4 linked regions of the Saccharomyces cerevisiae S288C genome follow. Changing the gene in region 3 together with the main gene of any one other region gives a genetic interaction. Each region holds a gene or a part of one and is shown on either strand. Other genes may lie near its edges. The genes, in order: HAL5, PSH1, YTA7 and CHD1.

The links.
Region 1: mutations in YTA7 (region 3) and HAL5 together harm fitness more than expected from each alone (negative genetic interaction), as found in Saccharomyces cerevisiae (3 studies listed by BioGRID).
Region 2: mutations in YTA7 (region 3) and PSH1 together harm fitness more than expected from each alone (negative genetic interaction), as found in Saccharomyces cerevisiae (3 studies listed by BioGRID).
Region 4: mutations in YTA7 (region 3) and CHD1 together harm fitness more than expected from each alone (negative genetic interaction), as found in Saccharomyces cerevisiae (3 studies listed by BioGRID).

The regions. Positions count from the first base shown.
Region 1 is NC_001142.9:106,394-111,575, forward strand, and holds HAL5 (protein kinase HAL5), read right to left. Parts: upstream 3,069-5,182; coding exon 501-3,068; downstream 1-500. Other genes in the region: QCR8 (ubiquinol--cytochrome-c reductase subunit 8), read left to right, coding at 41-325; cAMP-dependent protein kinase catalytic subunit TPK1, read right to left, coding at 3,573-4,766.
Region 2 is NC_001147.6:226,898-230,514, reverse strand, and holds PSH1 (ubiquitin-protein ligase PSH1), read right to left. Parts: upstream 1,902-3,617; coding exon 681-1,901; downstream 1-680. Other genes in the region: AIM39 (Aim39p), read right to left, coding at 1-430.
Region 3 is NC_001139.9:1,025,476-1,032,131, reverse strand, and holds YTA7 (chromatin segregase YTA7), read right to left. Parts: upstream 4,763-6,656; coding exon 623-4,762; downstream 1-622. Other genes in the region: SLH1 (RNA helicase), read right to left, coding at 1-341; HUA1 (Hua1p), read left to right, coding at 5,479-6,075; FOL2 (GTP cyclohydrolase I), read left to right, coding at 6,397-6,656. UniProt on the Saccharomyces cerevisiae protein: Functions as an ATP-dependent nucleosome disassembly factor that helps evict canonical histone H3 from the 5'-end of genes upon their induction.
Region 4 is NC_001137.3:503,259-510,398, reverse strand, and holds CHD1 (chromatin-remodeling ATPase CHD1), read right to left. Parts: upstream 5,008-7,140; coding exon 601-5,007; downstream 1-600. Other genes in the region: PAB1 (polyadenylate-binding protein), read right to left, coding at 1-26; GCG1 (gamma-glutamylcyclotransferase), read left to right, coding at 6,617-7,140. UniProt on the Saccharomyces cerevisiae protein: ATP-dependent chromatin-remodeling factor which functions as substrate recognition component of the transcription regulatory histone acetylation (HAT) complexes SAGA and SLIK. It recognizes H3K4me.

The sequences.
Region 1 (5,182 bases), on a different chromosome or scaffold from region 3:
CAAATAATCAACAAAACACTACACAAAAACTTCTACGATAATGGGTCCTCCAAGCGGTAAAACTTACATGGGATGGTGGGGTCACATGGGTGGTCCAAAGCAAAAAGGTATAACCTCATATGCTGTGTCTCCATATGCTCAAAAGCCATTACAAGGTATTTTCCATAACGCTGTATTCAATAGTTTTAGAAGATTTAAGTCTCAATTTCTATATGTATTAATACCTGCGGGAATTTATTGGTACTGGTGGAAGAACGGTAACGAGTATAATGAATTTCTGTACAGCAAAGCTGGTAGAGAAGAGCTGGAAAGAGTTAATGTTTAATATTGTTTCCATGCCTCTACATTACATCGATCTTTTGATCTTCTAAAAACTTACATATATATTCTGTTTATAAAACAAGAGCAAATAACCCCCATATATTTATTCAGTCAGTCTATTTATTTACTTACAGTATCAGTAATAATAAATACTTAAGCATTTTTTGTTTTGTATATCTTTATTTACTAACCTTGGTATGTAAGTGTCTATAAACTACACAGCATTTTGTTTTCCTCATCCAGGAGCTTTGTAGTAATTGTTCAATGGTGATTCTCTTCGTGGGGTCGACCTGGAACGTTCTATATAGTGCAATTTTCCTCAACCTATTCAGTTCGCTACTAACATGTCTTAATTCCTCAAATAGATAAAACTGTCCATCATCTTTAATTTCACTGAGAAATGATTTAAAAAGAGAATCCTTTTCAGGAATGGCGATTTTCCAAAGATACTGTCCCATGACCATTGTACAGTAAACAATACCACAACTCCAACAATCTACCAGACGCGGATCGTATTCTGCATCCCTTATAAATTCTTCAGGTGCCACATATGGCTCTGAACCCATGGCTCCACTCTGGAAGTGGACGTGTTTCTCCCAGGCAGTCTGAAAAACTGAACTAGTACCAAAATCACAAATTTTTAACAACCCATTAGGTTGGAAAAGGATATTTTCGGGTTTCAAATCACAGTGTGCTATACCATGATCATGCATGTATTGAACACCATTCAAAAGCTGTTTCATAAAACAGTCTGCTTCTAATGGGTGCAACGGACTCCCAGAACCTTCTTTAACAGTTTGGATCAATCTTGAACTCCCGTTATTCGATTCATTTGAGATGTTATTCCTTGTTAGCAACGAATATAAATCACCTGAAGCACAAAATTCCATCACTTCTACGAAGGAATTGCTATATTCCATTAGGTCCAAAATTTTCAAAATGTTTGGGGCATTGAAGACATGTTTTGGTGGAGTGGTTCTTGAAACATTTCCTGCTATCATCGCATTTGCCTCAAAATGCGGATGGCTCAGTGAGTGTCCAATAATGAACTCAGAGGTTAATCTCGTGCAAAATTTATCAATTTGGTCACCTGGCTTGGGCTTCAGCTCTTTGACGGCAAAGAATAGTTTTTTTCCATTAGAGTAGGTACTGTATGGTAGGACATCTTTAGCAGTCTTGCACCTTGCGCAAATTTTGACCACCCCGTATGCACCTGCACCGACGACCCCAATAGATTTTCCGTATTTTTGTGAACAAGGTTTATGAGATGTATCGTCATTGGTTGTTCCTGCCTTGCCCTCTGTGTCATCAGAATCCTCCTGTTTATTGCTATTGCTTCTGCCTTCGCCATTGTTGCCTTTTGTATTTTCACTTTTAAGGCCCTTTCGTATTTTTTCCGATAATGCATTGATTAGCTTCAACTCTTCAACACCTACAGCAGCGTTAGGATTCACGATTTGCGGAATATTTTTACCATCGTTTTTCATCAATTCATCATTATTGCCATTTTTAAGGTTACTCGTTCTCGATTTCTTTAAAGTCTGCGATTTGATGAATCTCTGGGATGGTATTATTGAAAATGCTTTTTCTAGATTGATTTGTTCGCCGTTTTCTTCTTGTTGCTGCTGTTGCTGCTGTTGTTGGTTTCCATCCTTATGAGATTTGAATAATCCACTTAAAGAAAACACAGATTTTTGTTTATGCATATTTGCCTCACTGTCATTGTCACCATCATCGCCGCTGTTTACAGAAGCGTCAGCATCCTTTTCATCGCCACTATCCACATTTTTATTGTTTGTAATAATTGGCAGCACTCTCAAAGAATGTTCGTGGTATCCGTTTTCAAAGACTTTGAAATGACCTAAATCCAAAATACATTTACATTCGATTTCTTGAAATTTCGGTAAGCTGGAAGCACTGATAGAGTCTGAGTGATTTCTTCCCCTCATGTATATTCTATTTCCTGTACCATTACCAACATTGTTGGTGGCATTTGAATTCATTCCACCATTTCCATTTTTCATTGGTGGTGACCTTGGTGTGGACAAACTGTTCTTCCTACTTCTTGTGCGATTGCTATGATTACGTACGCCCAGACTGTTTCTCCTTCTAAGTTTTGATTCTTCGTCATAATCAAGCATAGCATCAATAGAAAAGTTATTTTCCTGATCCAAAACATGGTTGGCATTACTATTTGCAGGGTTTGAAGAACCTGCGTTTTGTGGGAAGTTTTTCAGCCGTTCCCTTGGTTGTCTTTCAACCTCATCGCTACCAACTGTATAGCGGTGATGAGGCACATAAGCTTCCTTGGAACGTACATGTTTTGCACGAGCTTTCTCTTCCTTTTTATTTTGAAGATCCTCTCTCTCTAACAAATTGGCTTCATCTTCATCTTTTTCACTTATGAAAGATTCTTGTGAAAACATTTCATTTTCTGAATTCAAAGATGGTTCCCTACTAGGTGACAACGAGAGTTTTGCAATATTAGGGACGCCCAGTTTGTGATGCTTAGGAGCCGCTTGTAGAACAGGGCTATGTACGGGGGATATAGACGGGGAAGATACGTTGCTAGTTATTATTCTTGCTGTTTGATGAGAATGTGCTTGGTCCTGACCGGGACGAGATGAAGGAGCCGCAGCATTATTACTGCCTGATATCCCTGAAGGCTTAAATAGACCCTTAATGGATTCGGAGAGCGATCTGGCCCTCTTCAAAGATGTGTGGCGTGAAAGCTTCTCATCTCCCATTGTTTTTATTTTTTCAAAATTTTTTTTTTATTTAGCAAGTTTCTCTATCTCCTTTGTATTCTAAAAGTAAATGGATGGAAAGAATGGATCTTTTCGTAGACTATAATGCTTCCTAAAATATACACGTATAGAATGGAGATTCCGACTTGTTTGGAGCCACCAATTGCCCTTTATTTGGTTTATACCAAGGGGCTCACGTAAAAAAAAAATCGATATGCAAAATCCTTCATTTCATGATGCAAGCTTTCGAAAGTGGCGCGGCGAGCAAAGTAGAAAATCAAAGACAGAAGCGTAGAATAAAAGCCCTTTTAATGGTAGGAATACGCCTCGATAACATCATGTATGCAATCTACAAGAACAGTGAACGCCGTTCCATCTCCGTAGTAACTATACAGGGGTTGAAATTTCGTTTTCGAAGGATAGTTGTTATGTAGAAAAGAGGGAAAAAAATATGAAAAAAAAAAAATATAGATACGAGAGGAAAATACAACAAAACATTAGTCATTAGAAGTCCCGGAAAAGATCAGCATATGGGTCTTCACCTTGAACACCGTAGTTGATGTCTTCTTCCGGGTACTTATCGAACTGTGAGGTGTCACCTTGTCCCTGTTGAATGGGCGGTTCATACGGCGTTTCTATGTTTCTAGATAATAATTTTTCCCAGACAACTTCTTTGAACCAGGGGTGGTTTTTGACATCTTCTGTACCATTTTGTAAATTACCTAGTCTTTGACTTAAGTCTCTTGTGATCAATCTACTCAACAGGTCCTTTACATCTTCGTTGAAAAATGGTGGAAATCTCAATTCGGCATTCAAGATTTTCTCATAGGTTTTCATCGTGTTAGAGTCGTAAAATGGCGTGTATCCTGCTAGCATTTCGTAAATCAGAATACCGAAACTCCACCAATCGATAGATTTATTATATGGTTTAGTACTAACGACCTCGGGTGCTATGTAGTCGGGAGTACCGCATAATGTATATGTGACGTCAGGAACGTATTTGGCAAACCCGAAATCTGTTATCTTTATATGCCCGTTTTTATCAAGCAAGATATTTTCCGGTTTCAAATCCCTATAAATAATGTCCTTGCTATGCAAGTACTCCAAAGCTAAACAAACTTCCGCTGCGTAAAATTTAGCAACTGGGTTGGGAAATCTTTGGGATTTCCTTAACAAAGAAAACAATTCTCCACCTTCAATATAATCCATAATCATGAAAATTTGCTGAGCATCTTGGAAAGTCCCCCACATTCTAATAATAAACGGATGTGTTACGATAGAAAGCATCAATCGCTCGTCGTTGGTATGCTCCACCTGTTTCAATCTTACCACGATTTCCTTTTTCAAAACTTTCATGGCGTAGTATCTGCCATTATGTCTTGATCTAATCAAATGGACCCTACCAAAAGAACCCGTACCCAGTGTCCTTAATATCTGAAAGTCTTGTAAACTATACTTCCCACTTGTAACTCTCGCTTGGGCAATAAACTGTTTATACTGCTCCTCATTGTAATAAGTGACATGTGGCTGCTTCGGTTTTTCTTGGGTTTCTCCACCCTCTTTTTCTACAGACTTACTTTCGTTACCGCTCTCTGTGGCTGTTGTTTCCCTTTCACTAGTCTCACCTTTTTGTGATTCCTCACCTTGTCTATCATCTAGAGACTTTTGACCACCTCCATTTTGTTCTTCAGTCGACATACCCAAAAAAAAGATTCTTTCACACAATCAGCTATAATTCATGCACTGCTTAAGCTAAGAGAACACTACTTTCTGTGCTACCTTTGAAGCCGATTGAAAATGCAAGCAAGCCAAACAAAAAAAAAAGTATAGGGTCAGATTCCTTAGCTTTATCAAATTAAAACTCTTAGATGGATACAATCGCAGCTTCTATGATGTTTCGCACCTAAAAATTCTCACGTTTTTCTGGCCAGAGATAGTAGATGAATATTTTTCAAGTTTTCAAGTAAAGGGATACGATATCCCCCTTGATTATTATGTCAAACTTTTACCAGATCCCGCCTTCCCTCCCCCCTAATAGCGCGAAAAAAAAGATCATCATGATTACGTAGAAAAAACCACAACAACACTATGTTGAATCATGTCATAAGCAAAGT
Region 2 (3,617 bases), on a different chromosome or scaffold from region 3:
GACCAATGCTTCTCAAGTCCTCTCCTTTTATGTTAGGACTGTGTCCCTCTTCAATTTCCCCCAACTTCGTCTGTTGCTGTTGATGTGGCGTCGTAAAAAAATGCTTGCCATCATGGACATGCCTTTTCGACTCTGTCAATGAATTTCTTTTAGTTGTAATGCTTTTATTCAAGGTATTCAACCTTACATGACAATAGGTAGGCGCCTGGGTAAATAAGCATATACTTCTCGCGGACAGTAGAGATGTGTTAGCATTACGTAGAATCGCAAACCGTATCATTACCCCTTTTTCCTTCTTCTTGCAATTGAATACAGGAAACAGTTGCTTTGTCTTATGTTCGCTGCCACTCTTCTTTGGTTTTAATGCTTTGTTTCTCTCCTGCACTTGAATTTTATTGCTCGGAAAATGCTTCTTGCATAACCCCCACATAATTGGGCTGATTAACGTGACGCTAAAAAAATACCAATAGCAGTCCCAAAAAAAAAAAAAAAAAGATTCACATATGTATTGATTTTACTTTACGAAATTCTTGACCTATTTATATCATAAACGAGTGCTTATATTTCCGATCCTACTATCGCTTAAAAATCTTAATGTAATAAGGATAGAAAGGAAATTTTTTAAAAACATACATAAAAGTTCCGTACATATGCCGTTCCCGCTAGTTAAAATGTTCAGATTATTCATCGTCACTGTCTCCTAGAACTACACGGAAGCGTTTCTGCCTTTTCGGTTGTGGGTCATCTAATTCTTCCGTGTTATCGTCATTGTTATCCTTGACATCGCTGGAGCCGGAATACGAAAGTGAACGATCTTCGGAATCAGAACTCGATTGTATCCGTGTAACCTCCTTCTGATCCTCATCAAGGCTATCACCACTTACAAAACCATCATCATTATGCTCGTAAAAGTCACTATCGCGATCTTCCTCTTCTGTAGCATGTCGCCGTTGCTCCTCTTCCTCATCATCAGTAATAATTACATGTCTGTTCTTGAGTGCAGACAATACCAAATTCCTCCTACTTCCATCTTCATCTTCGTCATCTTCATCATCCTCTATAAAATCTTTCAAATCGGAATCCATCTCCTCTTCTTCTTCCTCATCCTCTTCTTCGTCGTCTTCATCATCCACAGCATCCACAGCAATACTACGATTATGTGACCTGGCCCAACGGCCTAGTGGGATATGTTCTCGCATGGGCTCCTCTTCACTGCTATCATCGTCTTCAGAACTTACATCATCTCTATTAGCAAACGGATTGGTAGACGCAAATCGATTCTCTCTACGCCTACGCATGCTTTCCCGGATTTCATCCAACTCTCCTTCACTGTATTCTTCTTCATCAAATTCGTCGCGACCACCTGCGTAATTCCGTATTCTGGCATTGCAGTGGGGACAAACATTTCCGTCCTCTACTTCGTCTGGGTCTAATTCCCAATGACAATTACTACAACGTGTGATACCATCATCCGAGTCGTCGGCCACTGCCAATGCGCTATTCTTAAATACTTTGTCAAACAATGTGTCCTTTTCCTTGTCATTCTTGTAATCATTTTCCTCCTTGGTTTTAGTTGTTAAAAGTTTTTTAAAAGATTCATCATTCTGGTCCCTTAATTTCTCTAAAATGAATGATAGATACTGTTGCAACGTTGTATTCAATGCGGGAATGGTGGTAATATCAGATCTGCACTGCGGACAAGCCAATTCTTTTTGAGTATTGCTGGCAAACCAGGTGTTCAGACAACCATAGCAATAATTATGACCACAAGGTGTCATCATCGGTACAAACATATAATCGTGGCAGATGGAGCAAACTAACGATTCTATTATCTTATAAAGTATGGCGTCCTTGGTGCCATCGTTTTGGTGAAGTAAACGGTTGTGTAATTCGTCGCCCATTATTCTTATCAATATATTAAAACTTTCTGTCTGAGAAAAAACGCGATCGTTCGTTTTCTGAAAACTTAATGCTTAAAATAGAATATTATCAAATTCCTCATCGCAGTTGTATGCTAGAAGAGAGCTCATCTAAATTGTAGTGGACATAGGATAAAAAACGCCATTGTGTGAAATGGCCCGAAAAAAAAGTATTGGGTATTCAAAAATAACGACCCCAGTGAGGGTTGAACTCACGATCTTGCGATTAACAGTCGCACGCCTTAACCAACTTGGCCATGGAGTCTAATATTTTATGAAAGATCTAAATTTTAGAAACTTAATGATGCACAGTTCTCAATGCACAAGATTGTGAGAAATGGGAGAATTTTGAGACAATTGTTGAGATTCCATTATTAATAAAGGTTTAATATTAGGTATATAGAACATGTTAGAGGTGTTGGAATGAAACTTTAAAATATCATCTTTTTAGTAGTATTCGTGTTACTAGTATATTATCACATGCAGTGTAAGAAGATAACATAAAGATTGGGAAACAGTTAGATTGATTGAAGCGAAATGCAAGGACTAATAATGTAATAGGATAATGAAATGTATAAAACGGAATTGGGAATATTCGTAATATTAGTATGTAGAAATATAGATTCCTTTTTGAGGATTCCTATATCCTCGAGGAAAATTTCTATTATAATCTGTATACATAATATTATAGCCTTCACCAACAATGGAATGACAACAATTATCAAATTATTCACCCAGTATTCAAGAGGTTTTCCACAAGGATATAGGAATCCATAAAAAGGCATCAGTATTATTATTACCATTTCTTATTCATTTACACGCCGTTATTCACTATTATTGAATAATCAATCATTGCATTTTTCAGCTTCCATTACATCTGATGCTATTTCTTAACCTTTATGGTTGCCTCTTATTCAACAAAATTAAAAGGATGAGGATAGAGAGTTAACTGGTTTTAATTTTTGTAGATGTAATGTATCCTCTTACAATTTACATTTGTTAACTCTAGGACATTATTAGGCTAATAAAATCATAACAAAAAGAAAAAAAAAACAAACGAAACAAAGTATTTTTTGTATGCCATGAACCATCTGCATTAATTACTTTAAAGCCAATAAGGACACTAATTAAACGAAAAAATAGGTATACTACTAAGAGATAGGTGAATAATTTGGTAATTATTCAGATGAAACTCTAGAGTGTCATCCATTTAGTAATATTCGTGATACTAGTATATTATCAAATACATTGTAATCATAATCATCATCATCATCATCATCATCATCATCATCATCGTCATCATCATTATTATTATTACTATTCTTTTTATTCTTCCCATTTTTATGTGCAGGCCCTTATTATCTTATTACAATATTTATCCTTGCATTTAGCTTTCATATGAATCTAATGACTGTTTCTTAGTCTTTATGTCATCTTGTCACGTCTTATATGATAATATAATAGTAATATAAATACCAGTCAATAGATATTCGTTAATTGAAAGGGGAGCATCAAACAATTGTGACCAATTAATTCTATATATTTACAAACTTTTACTGTTGTATTAGGGCTCGAGTAATACCGGGGTGTCTAGACAATCCTAATATAAGGAGTCTTTGGGAAGTAATCAGTTGCCAAAACGGATTATCAGCTTGATTCATGGGATGTTGCTTATTCTATATATCATATAAAATATGA
Region 3 (6,656 bases):
CTGCTTAGTGTCGTTTCAGCTTCATTGATTAGTTTTCCAATTTTTTTATATACTGCAACTGCATTCTTTGTTTTGTATGAATCAATTATAGATTGCAGTTGAGCAAATGAAATGTCTTTAAACTCCTCAAATATATCATCCCAATCATTTCTATCTTGTGAGAGAACAGTTAGTTCAGTTCTTTGATTTTGTTCATCCTTTTGGACTTTTTTTAGCTCGTCATCAAAATCTGGTAAAGAGATTTTCGATCTATCTAGATTAAAGGTTTGTGAAGTATCAATCATAGATTGCATTGCAATCATAAATGATTTAGATGAATCAGCAGAGTATTCAGTTGACATCTTGAGCCGGCTATTGATGGTACGGATCTACTTCTCACAATTCCAATGGTGTTAGAAGATATTATGAACATGTTTAATTTCAATATGTTCAATACATATTCCATTCTCGGTCATTACCCGAAACGTATGCCAGAACAGTGACTGTTAAAATAAAGTAGTGGAAAAAAGCATAATATATATACAAGGTGTGGTTTTAAATCTATTTCTTTTCAAGAAAAGTGCACATTCATGTATATGAACTAACTACATTTAAGAATTATATAAACATTATGGACTCCTGCTTATTCAGATAAAAATTTTATTATTTCATCGACAGTTCCTGTTTTATCCCATGCTGATTTACTTTTCCATATTATTTTTGCAACGGACGAATGAACATCTTCTAATTGAGAAACCGTAAAATTCTGACAGTGTTCGATTAAGCATGCAGATACTTTTTTTATTTGTTCGGGCGTCAAAATAAGCTCCTTGTCGCTCTTCTTCCCTTGCTCCGGTTCCACAACCTCTTTTGGTATCGGACTTCGTTCCCTTTTTTCTACCGTTTCGTGGAGGGAATTTGGTTTGTTAACCGATTGAATTTCCTTTACGTGATTTATATTATTAGTATTAGCGTCTATTTTGCTGAAGTTTTCTTCCGTAACCTGCGTTTGCAAAGAGTCTTCATTCTCTTTTGGTTCTTTTCTGGCCCTTTCATCATCATCGGTGGTTATCTCTGACGTGCAAGTGGCCTGTATCAGTTCCGTTGTGTATTCTTCATTTGCACCGCTATCCTCAGGGATGACCGCTTTTTCTTTATCTACTGCAGAGGGAATTGCCGCAGGAATCTCCTTTTTATACAGGTTGGTATCAATTGGTTGAGGGACCTCGCTGTTATTAACGATAGAGGCTGTATTGATAGTTGTTTGCAGCTGAGCTTGCAATTGATTACCAGCAGCTACACCAAACTCATTAGCCTTGTTATCCTTTAAATCAGGTTCTTGCAGTATATTTTCTTGACTCTGTTCTTTGGCTTCTAATTCCATTGCAGCTCTTTTCTCTTCATCTTCTAAGAAAAGTTCCTGCCTTTCCAAATCCCTTTGGCGAGTAGCTTTACACTCTTGAATAAAATCCGGGGTTGAAATTTCTTCGATACCCATTTGCGCGTTGGCAAACATCTCAGAGGCCTTAATGACACGTTCTCTGTCCCCAATGGTATTTGCATCCCTGTATATCAGTTCAATGTCTTTTAAAAACTGTTTTGGTTCTGAGTAATAGCCATTCCAAAGTCTCTCTTCGACAATATCCAAATCCATGTTAAAAAACTTTCGCCCTGTTGAAACCTCCAGAATCATGTTCTCATCTTTTATATATGCAGGTTGCCAATTGGGATCATTGCTTGTCTCTGGTTCGAAAAGATGAACCAAGAAGGCATCATCAATAGGTGGTTTTCTAAACCTTTTATATCTGTTTTTAAAAAGATCCATCAAGCCTGAGAGTTTGATTTTTAACACATTTTTCAATCTCATATCTTGGTGTTGAAAAGATTTCAACTTCCTTCTTAATACCACTTTTTCAGACAGTGGCTCACCATTTTCATCAAAATTTGTTGGAGCTGCGTTTGAAGTTACTTTTTGTAATTCAGGTAACGGTTTGACTCTTCTCTTTTTCATGGGAATATCACTTGGCTTTGTTTTCAGTAGTTCAATTAAATTAGAAAAATACCTCGTTATATTCTCTTTGGATGGTTTATGCAGTTGAAAGATATTTTTATCAAAAGCAAAATCAGATAAAATACCATTTTTAACTTCAGATATATCAAGATTTTCAGCTAAGCATAATAGAAGAATTTTTTCATTGCTTTGTAAAGATCTGAACAAACCTGATAAGACTAAAATAACGTTTTCTGGAATAGTGTTGATCCAAATGTCTAAATTAGGAATAAATACAACTGAGGGCTGTCTTTTCTTTGCTTCCATAAAACTTTGCACTACAGCAGCTTCAATAGTCCTAGAACTTTCCGAAACCAAAGAGGCAAGGTCCAGGTTTTGGACGTTGAATTCTTCTAAATAATTTAAAATTGCGGCTCCGACATATTGTTGACCATTTCCCTTGGGCCCATTTATTAATAACCGAGGTTTACAAATTTGTGATTCCGCCATCGATTCGAAAAACTCATATGATCTAAAACTGGATGTATCTTCATTTCCTCCATATTTGTCATGCTCTTCTTCCTCTCCACTGTATTCTTCATAATCGATGAAATTTTGTAGCAATGATGTGTTTCTCTGAAAAGTTGTGTCTTTAATGTTCAGCATATAATCCAGCTTGTTCTTTAAATTATTAAGTTGATCTGCCAGTAATGGTTTGATTAATTCAGGTAGTGGCTGAGGAGAACTACCAGTAGATCTCGCAGATGACGGAACAATTTTTTTCAAAGCTAACATGAAATCGCTAACTTTGACTTTAATCTTAGAAGGGTCCACCAAGAGTTTATCATTTGACCTATAAATTTGAGGAAAGCTTCTTTGTATACTTATTAGTGCAGCCTCAGTGCATAGGGACCTCAGATCAGCACCACCATATCCTTTGGTCAAAAAAGCCAATTTATCAATGAAGTTGGTTGACAACGGTGAACTCCATTTCCTGGTCTGAATTTGCAAAATTTTAAAACGTGCTTTAACATCAGGTAATGGAAAATAAAATTCTCTATCAAATCTTCCCGGCCTTCTTAATGCGGGATCCACTGCATCGGGTCGATTTGTGGCTCCGATGACAATGACTTGGCCTCTATTGTCCATACCATCCATCAGCGCTAATAATGTGGAAACAATACTAGCATGGATCTGTTCTTGTTTGGAACTTCTCACAGGCGCTAATCCGTCGATTTCATCAAAAAAAATGATGGAAGGTTGATGTTTTTTAGCTTCTTCGAATAACAAACGGAGTTGTCTTTCAGCTTCACCAACCCACTTGGATAAAATATCTGCACCTTTACGCATAAAAAATGTGATCTTCCTTTCATCAGAAGAACAACTTGCTGCTAACGCTCTTGCCATAAGTGTTTTACCCGTACCAGGAGGACCATGGAAAAGAACACCCCTTGGGGGCGTGATATTAAAATTTTGATACAATTCTGGGTATAATAGTGGTAAGGCCACCATTTCCTTTAATTGGTCAATGTAGTTGTCTAAACCACCTATATCGTCAAAATTTACATTCATGTCTACGCCTAATGGATCGAGGTCTGCAATTTCTGGTTTTTTCTTCTTCTTTTTTTGCGTGTTCTCTTTCTTTGTTTTCGGTGTCACGCCAAGAGGTAATATCTCATCATCGGAAGAGTCTGAATCCAGTATTAATTTATTGTTGTTATTATCACTGAATGCAGATGGGACTTGGTTGTAAAAATTAGTATTCTTACCAAATATTGTAGTTACGTCATTGCCACCAAAAGGTCCACCAGTGGGAAAAAGCCTTCTTGTGGGACCAGAATTTTGACTAGCATTCCAACCACCGCGACCACGCCGTGCAGGTGATGGGTTATGAAAAGAAAGTGCATTGTTATTCTTATCTATAAATTCTTCTGCGTTGCTAGCAGTTAGTGGTGGTGGTAATTTGTAATTTACCGGCTTAGTTCTTTCGCGAAGAAATCTTTTTTCCCTGATAGGACTATCTTCCTGTAACTCTCTAATTTCATCAGCTAAAGTTAACGCTTCATTCCTGCTATTATCATTCTCATCGTCATTTTCTTCATTTGAAGTACGCGAATGTCTTGTCCTACTTCTTAAAGCTCTTCTTACCGGTGGTGGAGTTTCTGGGTGACGTGACGATCTTGTTCTTCGAGAATTTGCCCTTTTCAAACGTTTAGAAGAAGCCGAATGGCTTATTCTGTCTCCTTCTTCGTCATCCTCATCGTATTCTTCATCGTCATCAGGGTCTGGTACTACAAATTTCCTATCGGCCGCTCTGCGCCGACGGTTGTTATCCTTCGAGTCTTCATCCAAATACTCATCTTCAAATTCGTCTGCTTCTTCCTCCTCTTCATCATCGTCGACATCTTCCTCATGAAAACTTTCGTCATCTTCTTCTGGATCATGCGCTTTTCTTTTTCTCAAGTTCCTTTCATTAGTAAGCTCTTCGTTCGTTCTGGCGTTTTCGTGCGGTGATACAAGATCAACATCATCGTCTTCATCATCGCCTTTCTGGTTGTTGTTATGATGTTCATCACTAGTAACATCAACGGGCGTCTCATCTTTGTCCATGACCTGGTCATCTTCCAAAAAATCAAACACTTTCTCAATTTCTGCGTAGTTTATTTTTCTCAAAGAGCGAGTTGTTGTATGGATTATGCCATTTTCGTCTTTAATCTGTGTTTCATACCCAACCTTTGCGTTGCTTGCATCTTCAACGTCGCTACCGCGTCTATTCCTTAAATTTCGTGCCATGTTCTTTCTGCACCAATTGTGAATAAATAGCGAGAAGAGAGAAATAGACCGTGGTAACTTCTTTTTATGACTGTCGAAAACAACAATGGGTTAGTAAGGAGTACGCAAGATCCTTCAGACGTTTTGCTTTATTTAAGACCCTACGCAGTTCCTTTTCTGCTCCTTTTCGTCCCAATATTGCTCTTTCGCTACCACTTTGTCCTTTTTCGCACACATGGCCGTACAAAATAACAGACGGTACGTTTTTAGTGATAATAAACAAGTTTATAGAGGCAGAAAAAAATTCCTCAGCGGCTAATGCCTCAACAAGTTCAGCTGCAAACGATGAAAAGACGCACACAAAAGCGAATAGAAATAACCGATCACCACAGTTCCTCTTTAAAACATCTCAAACTCAGCATTAACTTTCAAATCAATCCAGTGAAAGTATGCTTGGTTTGACACTTCACTGCCATTTCCTCCTGCCTGCCTATCTGATGCTTTGCCACCACAAGAGTGTTTTCCCTATGGCTTAATCGCTTTTTTCCATTTATTTTTCTCTTTCCCCCTTTTAATAGAGGGAAGAGAGCAGAACATACAAACATATCATTTTCTACGGTATAGCCTCCGCCTCCATCTTTAATAGTGACACTTCCATCAAGGGAATAAAGAGGCTTCAAGTCAAGAACTAAGCAGTCCCAAAAAATACCCATAAAACGAGTATAAACCATACTGTTATGTCTAAAGACACGCATGATGATGAACTGCCGAGCTACGAGGACGTAATCAAGGAAGAGGAGAGATTGCAATCTCAACCGCCACGACCACCAAGACCAGCAGCTAACTTGGCGCAAGGGCACCAATCAAGACCCCACCAAAGGCCCTCGACAATGCCAGCAACGTCCTCATCCCAAACATATGCTCACTCACACTCTTATACGCCTACAAGTTCCCAACCACGGCCTCCACCGAGGCCACAACAGAATCCTAGCTTGCCCTGGACATACCCTCCCAGGTTTTACTGTTCCAAGTGTGGAAATACGGGTTACAAGTTGAAGAATGGACGATCTTGCAAGTCGTGTTGGAGGAGGTTTGCACCTCAAAATAACGTTGTTTCTGCACCGACATATTACACAAACTATACAATGCCCGTGTACACCAACGCATGGCAGGGTAATAGGCCCTTGTACGTTCAACCAGGGGATCCTCGCCTGGGTGGCGTGCTATGTGGTGAATGCAGAGGGTCCGGACGCACCAGATTCCTGTTGGACGAAGATATATGTCCTCTTTGTCATGGTGTAGGCAGAATTATCACCCAGCCTCAACGCTATTAGCGCATGAAAATTTAGGATTTGGATGACCCGGTACGGCCTTAGTAGAAAAGCTGTGTCGCTCACCGAAAAGAAAAAAGACCGAACAACTGTAGGATGAAAAGCATATTTTAATGCTCCTAATTTTCAAACATGTCTATTACATACTTATCACATAATCCGACTGATTTGCCCTTCTTTAACTTCTTTCATTTATTTTTACGGTGCCAACCGTCTGATCGATATAGCATCCGTTCATAAAATATTATACGACTCCATCCTCAATCGTGATTGTGCGTGCGTGACTCATTTTTTGTTAGAACCAATACTTTCAATCATCCCAAAATGCATAACATCCAATTAGTGCAAGAGATAGAAAGACATGAAACCCCGTTAAACATTAGACCTACCTCTCCATACACTTTAAACCCTCCTGTCGAGAGAGATGGGTTTTCTTGGCCAAGTGTGGGTACAAGACAACGTGCAGAGGAAACTGAAGAGGAGGAAAAGGAACGAATTCAACGCATTTCAGGCGCTATCAAGACAATTTTGACCGAACTGGGTGAAGATGTCAACAGAGAAGGTCTACTAGATACTCCACAAAG
Region 4 (7,140 bases), on a different chromosome or scaffold from region 3:
GCTGTCTTATCAGTAATATCAGCCATTTTATTTTTATTGGTTTTTTAGTTTTTTTTGGATTTTTTTTTTTGAGTTTTTATTGAATAAAAAGCCAGATATTAGGTGGTGGTACCAGGGCCTGCTCTATGCTTCAAACGGTTATTAAGTAAAAATGTTACTTCGTAGCTCACTGTCCTAAAAATACAAAATCAAAACTAAAGAATTTTACACAAGAAAGAAGAGATATAAAATACAAGATGACACTTTCTATTAAGTAAAACAGAAACCTCTTTCCTTGGAACTGGAGCGAAAGAGAACAATTGTCCCAGAACTTGCGATGGTGATGGCAAAAAGCGCAAAAAAAATTTTCTTTGTAAAAAGGAAAGAGAAAAAAAAAAAGAAATAATCTTCGATTAACAGTTTTCGTTAAACATGATTGATCTATCTGCTTTGTGGCTTCATACAGTATGACCTCTTATATGGTCATAGTAGTAACTAATTAAGCATTATTACTTTACGGTGCCCTATAGTACACACACTTACACGCAAATATATATACATAAATACGTTTATAGTTATGGGGGGAAGGAACAATGGAAAATGTGGTGAAGAAAAATTGTTTCACTTCTTTTGAGACTCTGTTATCTTGTCGTACATTGCCATCAGCTTTGTACTCTTAACGTCGGCAGGCCAAAAGTTGGCACTGTAAGACCAAAGGTGCTTGCGATATTTTTCTGGGCTTGCCTTTCTCGATGAGCCCTTTTGCGATTCGATATGATTACCAATCGTAGTTAATTCGGTCTTCAAAATTTTGGCCCATTCCTTACGATCAAGACTTTTGCCGCCTCTTCTAAGTCGCTTCAAAGAAGTACGTATTGCACTCATTGTGTGTCGACAGTCTTCTTCATCCATGCTGTCATATTCTTTTTCGTGAGCGCTGCCGCTACTGGGGTTGCTTGATTGCCTTGTACCATTATCTCTGGAAACCTTGGACTTTAATGGGGGCGTGGGGCTGTTTGGAGACAATCTCGTGTTATTTATTAAGGCGGCAGGACCTTTTGGGAGGGCTTTCATACGTTTGCTTGGCGGGCCATTTGCAGGCTCAGAACTTGTAATTTCTGGAGTCATGGATTTGCTGTGATTAGCAGGTTTTCTTTGTCTCTTTTTGGAAGGACCAGTAGGGAGTTTTTTCGAGCCTATGTCAGCACTGGGACTCTTTGTATTTAGGCCTCCTCTTAAGAAGGATAATAGATAATCAACTCTTCTGCCCAAGTGAATGGCACCAGGTACTTTTTTTGAAGAACCCGTTATTCCCTTTCCTTTCTTTGAGGGTGTTGGTGTTGTATCAGAGGAGCTTGCCGACTTTTTTGCTACCGGATTGTGAACTTCATTCAAGAATATTTTATCAGTAATGCCTAGAAATGGATCGTCTCTTATTTGTGTCCAGGAACCATATCCATATTTGAAAACACCAATCAATAGCTTCTCATCTTCCTCTTTCGTCCAATTAGATGACCAATTCTGTACAGGCTTAGGTGTGTTGTTGCCTAGGCTAAACTTTAATGGATCATCTTTGTAGTTTGAATTTATCAAGTTCTTCAAGTACTTTAAATCCTCCACTCTACTTAGTAAAGATTCGGCGTTTAAAGATTTAACACCTTTAAAGTTGAAAAGGACGGCTTTCTTTTCTCTTTTTTTTAAAGATAATCTAGTCAACGGATTATCCTTTGGTTGGTTCTCTGCTTTTATTTCACCGCTTTTTAGCTTTGCTCTATAGGCGGTAGCATGCTTCTCAAGTTTCTCCAAGATTTCTTTTCTATTTTTCTCTTCCTCGTGTACACAGTCTTTAGCTGCTTCCATCATTTCATCGTAAGTTTCACCGTATTTTTCAAATGATTTGACCGGCAGGGTTCCATCTGCAATCAACTCGTCCAAAATCTCCTTTAGGTTGCCAAATTTTAAAATAGCTTTATACAAAGCTCTCACCTCCGATTCACCAATAGAGTCCATGTCATTAGCTCTTGCTCTTCTTCTAGAAGATCTGGAAGTACTATCGTCGTCAGAATCTGAGTTTGCGGCGGTCCCATCACCATTAACACTGTTTTTTATTTTTTTTAGGGCGTTATCCCTTCTATTCATCATTTCAAGTTGTTCTTTAACATATTCTTCATCCTTGCGTTTCTGCTCTTCATCTTGGAGTTTTTTTAGTTCTTCTTCTGGAATGATATCATCCCAATCTATATCAGCTTTATAATCAGTCACTTCGAATTGCTTCAAAAACTCTTCACCGCCAAGATGCGACTCTCCTAAGTCTGGAGTAGTAACGTGATCCTCTGCATGATTCAAAACATCATCCAAGTTAAGATCCTCCAATTTTTTCTGGTTGTCTGTGGCAGTGAACATATTGCCTGCACCGAACTTCAGGATTGCCGATAATTCACCGGCATTTGGTTCATTCTTCTTAGTGTATTTGTTACCATCTGTCACTCCAAGAGAAATAATAGCATATTCCAGAATCATTTTCTTCCGTGCTCTTTCTAATACCTCTTCCTCTACTGTGTCTTTTGAAACCAACCTATACACCATAACGTGATTTTTTTGGCCAATACGATGAGCTCTAGCCATTGCTTGTAAATCGGCTTGCGGATTCCAATCGGAATCAAAAATCACAACGGTATCGGCGGTCATTAAGTTGATACCCAAACCACCAGCACGAGTAGAAAGTAAAAATACGAAGTCGTTTGAATCCGGAGAGTTGAAATGATCAATAGATATCCTTCTTTGAGCAGATGGTACTGTACCATCTAACCTTTGGAAGTTAATACCTTTAATGGATAAATAGTCGCCTAAAATGTCAAGCATTCTGACCATTTGTGAAAAAATCAACACGCGGTGCCCATCTTTCTTCAATCTGGTCAATAATTGGTCTAAAAGAACCATCTTACCCGAAGACATGATCAAACCTCTTAGTACGTTTTCTCGAGTCATTTTACCATCCCCAAATTTCTGTAAGACGCGCTCTTCAGCATTATCGAAGAGATATGGATGGTTCGATGCCTTTTTCAACTCGTTCATAATATTCAGTAAAGAGAAATGACCCCCTTTAGCTCCAGCAGTTAAAGCAGAGTAGTTTTTAGTCAGAATATTTTTATAGTACTCAGTCTGTACGTCGGACAATTCAACTCTTAAAATACGCTCTGTCTTTGATGGAAGTGATTTTTCTACGTCTTTCTTCAACCGACGAAGAATAAAAGGCTGTATTCTTCGGTGTAAATCATGAATATATTCTTCTTGCTCTTCATCTTGGTTTTCAAAATCAATCTCCTGATCAATCGTAAACCTTCCGGGCATTAGGAAATTAACCAACGCAGCTAACTCTTTAATATTATTCTGAAGAGGTGTGCCTGTGATTAACATACGGTTGGCGACCTTGAAACTGTTTAATGATTCATAAAGGGATGATTCAGCATTTTTTAGTCTATGAGCTTCGTCAACGGCCATAAATTGCCATTTTATACTTCCTAATTCAGCACGATCCTTTAAGATGTACTCGTATGTTGTTAATAAAACATTAAATTTCATTGTTTTTTTCCCTTTTGCCCTTGGATTGGTGTAAAATTCATATTCTCGAATGGTATCTCTTGATTTTTGGTTGCCCATATAGCATATACAATTCAAATCAGGCGCCCATTTCTCAAAAGTATCCAACCAGGCAGGCATTGTCGATAAAGGAACGACAATGATGTGAGGTCCGTTTTGTCTACGAGCAAATATCAGCCAACTGATAAAGGCGACAGTCTGGACCGTTTTTCCCAGGCCCATCTCATCTGCCAGTATACCATTATCACCTTTGGACCACAAAAATGCCATCCAATTAATACCAGTTAGTTGAAAATCTCTTAATTCCCCACCTTTAATGAACGGAGGTTGCACGCTTAACTTCTCAAAACGCGGTCTCTGTGAAGTATAATTACTGGAATATTGTGGGAGGATCTTAGAGTTTTCTCTGTTTTGAAAATGTTTCACTTGTTCAGGTGCCAATTTCACGATATCTGTGGCATTCTCCCAAGTAGCCTCGTCGTAATTTAGACGACGCCATTTAACTAAATACTGTAATTGTGAGGTGCCGTCTTCCAACGAAGCACGTTGGCTATCAATAATCCTTTCTGGCACGTGGAACTCCTCAAATTCATCAAGCCTACGTTCACGTTCCATGTCCATGATCTCTATATCTTCGGCGGTAACGTATGGATCTAATCTTACTTGTTGATCTTCGATGATGAATTGCTTACAATAGTTGTCCAACCTCTTCAATCCACGGACTTGGCCAATGGATTCATAAGTTTCCCAGGTATTGTGGAGATGAGATTCATCTGTCCATTTGATTAAGAATTCATAATTTTCCTTGCAGTTATTGAGGTCAGGAACAGTCTTTTCCAAGACCTTTCCTTCTTCCAAAGATGTCTTTAGTCTGTGATTGATAACAATATCAATACCGTGGAAGTCCTCTGGTTGAGGATTGGCAGATGCTTCATGCACATTTTCCTCTGATAAAGCCTCCTCGGAACCATAGTCATCTTCAGATTCTAAGAGGTCATCATCGCTATAATCGATGTTATAATTTACCGTTTTGTTTTGACGATTAGAAAACCTTGTTGGTATTTTCACTGTAGATTGCTTTTCAGATTGAGATTTTGGCTTAGATTTAGACTTTGATTTTGTTCTTGATTTCGGTTTTGATCGATTTTGTTTTATAGGAGAGCCATAATAATCATCATCTTCTTCAAAATCTTCCTCATCTTCGTCCTCTCCAGAATCTTCTTCGCCTTCTTCATCTTCAAATTCGTCTTCGTCGTCTTCAATCGTGGTCATTCTCTTCCTCCTCGACTGTTTAATATTATCTTCATCGTCCTCATCATCGCTATCGTTGAAGTAGTTTTGTTGATGCGCAGCAGCTCTATGTGACCGCCTCAGCCCATATAGTTCAGGATTTTGCAGCACTTCAGTAGAAATATCCTTGGCTGCCATTATAAGTGAGAATTAAATTAGAAAAGGTTCTGCTTTGAATTGGGTATAGGTTTAAAGAAATAACGGAAAAGTCTTGAAGCAAATGAAAAATAAAAACCTTTGAGAAACTTTGTCGTTAGTGAATAGGTAAGCTAGTGGAACTCAAGTACGAATTAAAGAAAATGATGGTCGATGTTTAGGCTTATTCAATTTTCTCCTTTGGAAGAAACAAGTATGTGTATATTCACAAAAGAAGTAACGGAAAAGAGAAGGTGACTTCTGCAAGCTTGCTTATCTTGACTTGATAACCCCAAACTTTTATCAACTTGACTTAGATGTCCGGACAAGAATACGATAGTACTAACCAGATATAATGAGGACAAGATTCTTCTACACAATGTTTCTCGTGGTACAGTTTCGAAATTGAAAAGAAGGAAAGGAAAAAAAGTAAAATTATATAACGAGAGGGTAACAGTATGATAATCGACTACTGAACTATGATCTGTTCGACAAGTGTTGCATATTACATGTCTTTAATGGTATCAATAATTGACATAATCTTATATCAGTAATGATATCAGGAAAGAACTTTGTAATGTTTGGGAACATATGTCCTAGTGTAGGGATGGGATGTGATAAGGATCGTGGGATGTTAAATTTATTCTCTTAGATGAAATTGCCTACACCTTCTGGACGGTTGATAATTAAGTTTTCAACTTTAGCGTGTTTCATTTTCAAAATATTGAAGAAGTGGCCTACCAGTGATATCCAACCGATGCGCGAGCAACACGCAAGCCCTTGGCTTGTGAGCAGCGTTTAGCTGACCGTATTACGCATTGATGGGCTGAGGAAAACATACAGGCAATCATGTCTTTTGATTTTGGCAACGTATGATCTTTTACCGTATATGGGGCAGTAACATATCATCGAAGTAAAAGCTAAAACAAAGAAAGTTAAAAAAAATAAACGTACAACATAGAAGCTTACCTTTCAAGGATATCTCAAAAGTATCAAATATATCACGGTGACTTCGGCCTGCGAAAGAAGATTTTCCTCGAACGGTGAAATACTGAGATGATCCATAAAGTAATGAGAGTGTTCTCGCTTGTATGGTTCGCTGACCTATGCCACCCGTGTTTCTCCATTGCGCAGAGGCTTCCATATTGACCACTACGTAGTGGCAACTTAAAACAATCAAAAATCGTTTTCTTCCTTAGGACTTGACTGCTTCGTCTTAAGATTATTGCCAGAAATTGAAGACAGAAAACATCAGTGAGAGGGGAGGGAGAGAGTGTCGCAACGTATGACCTCTTTTAAAGGCGTATGTCAACCAGCGGTTATCAATAGTTCCCTTGTGTTAAGGGAAGCTTGGAAGTTGTCACCAACACCTAGCAGACTTTTCTTCGACGTCCTCCCTAGTGGTTTATATGAAGAGAATGAGAAAATTTGCCACTCCAGTAATTTTTCCTTTTTTTTTTTTTTGGATTCGCCAAGGAGCGGGATAATTGGTATTCTGGGTAACGCTAAAAGGTAAGGTCAATATTAGCTATGAGTTTAGTCTCGAGGTGATTTAACCTTGGAAGAAGCAATCACGACGTTGGTTTGGGCTTATAAAAAGTTGTATGGCCAAATGACTAATGACAACAGTGGTATCTGGGTCCTAGGCTACGGATCTCTGATTTACAAGCCTCCGTCTCATTACACGCATAGAATACCGGCAATAATTCACGGTTTTGCTCGTCGGTTCTGGCAAAGTTCCACTGATCATAGGGGTACACCTGCAAACCCAGGAAGAGTGGCCACACTAATCCCGTATGAGGATATTATAAGGCAAACTGCCTTCTTGAAGAATGTGAATTTGTATAGTGAAAGTGCACCTATCCAGGATCCCGACGACTTAGTCACCATAGGGGTAGTGTATTATATACCACCAGAACATGCTCAAGAGGTTAGAGAGTATTTGAACGTAAGAGAACAAAACGGGTACACTCTACATGAGGTTGAGGTGCATCTAGAAACTAATCGGGAGCACGAGGCAGAATTGGGTGAAGCATTAGAACAGTTGCCTCGGCACAACAAATCGGGTAAACGGGTACTACTTACTTCGGTGTACATTGGTACAATAGATAATGAGGCCTTCGTCGGACCAGAGAC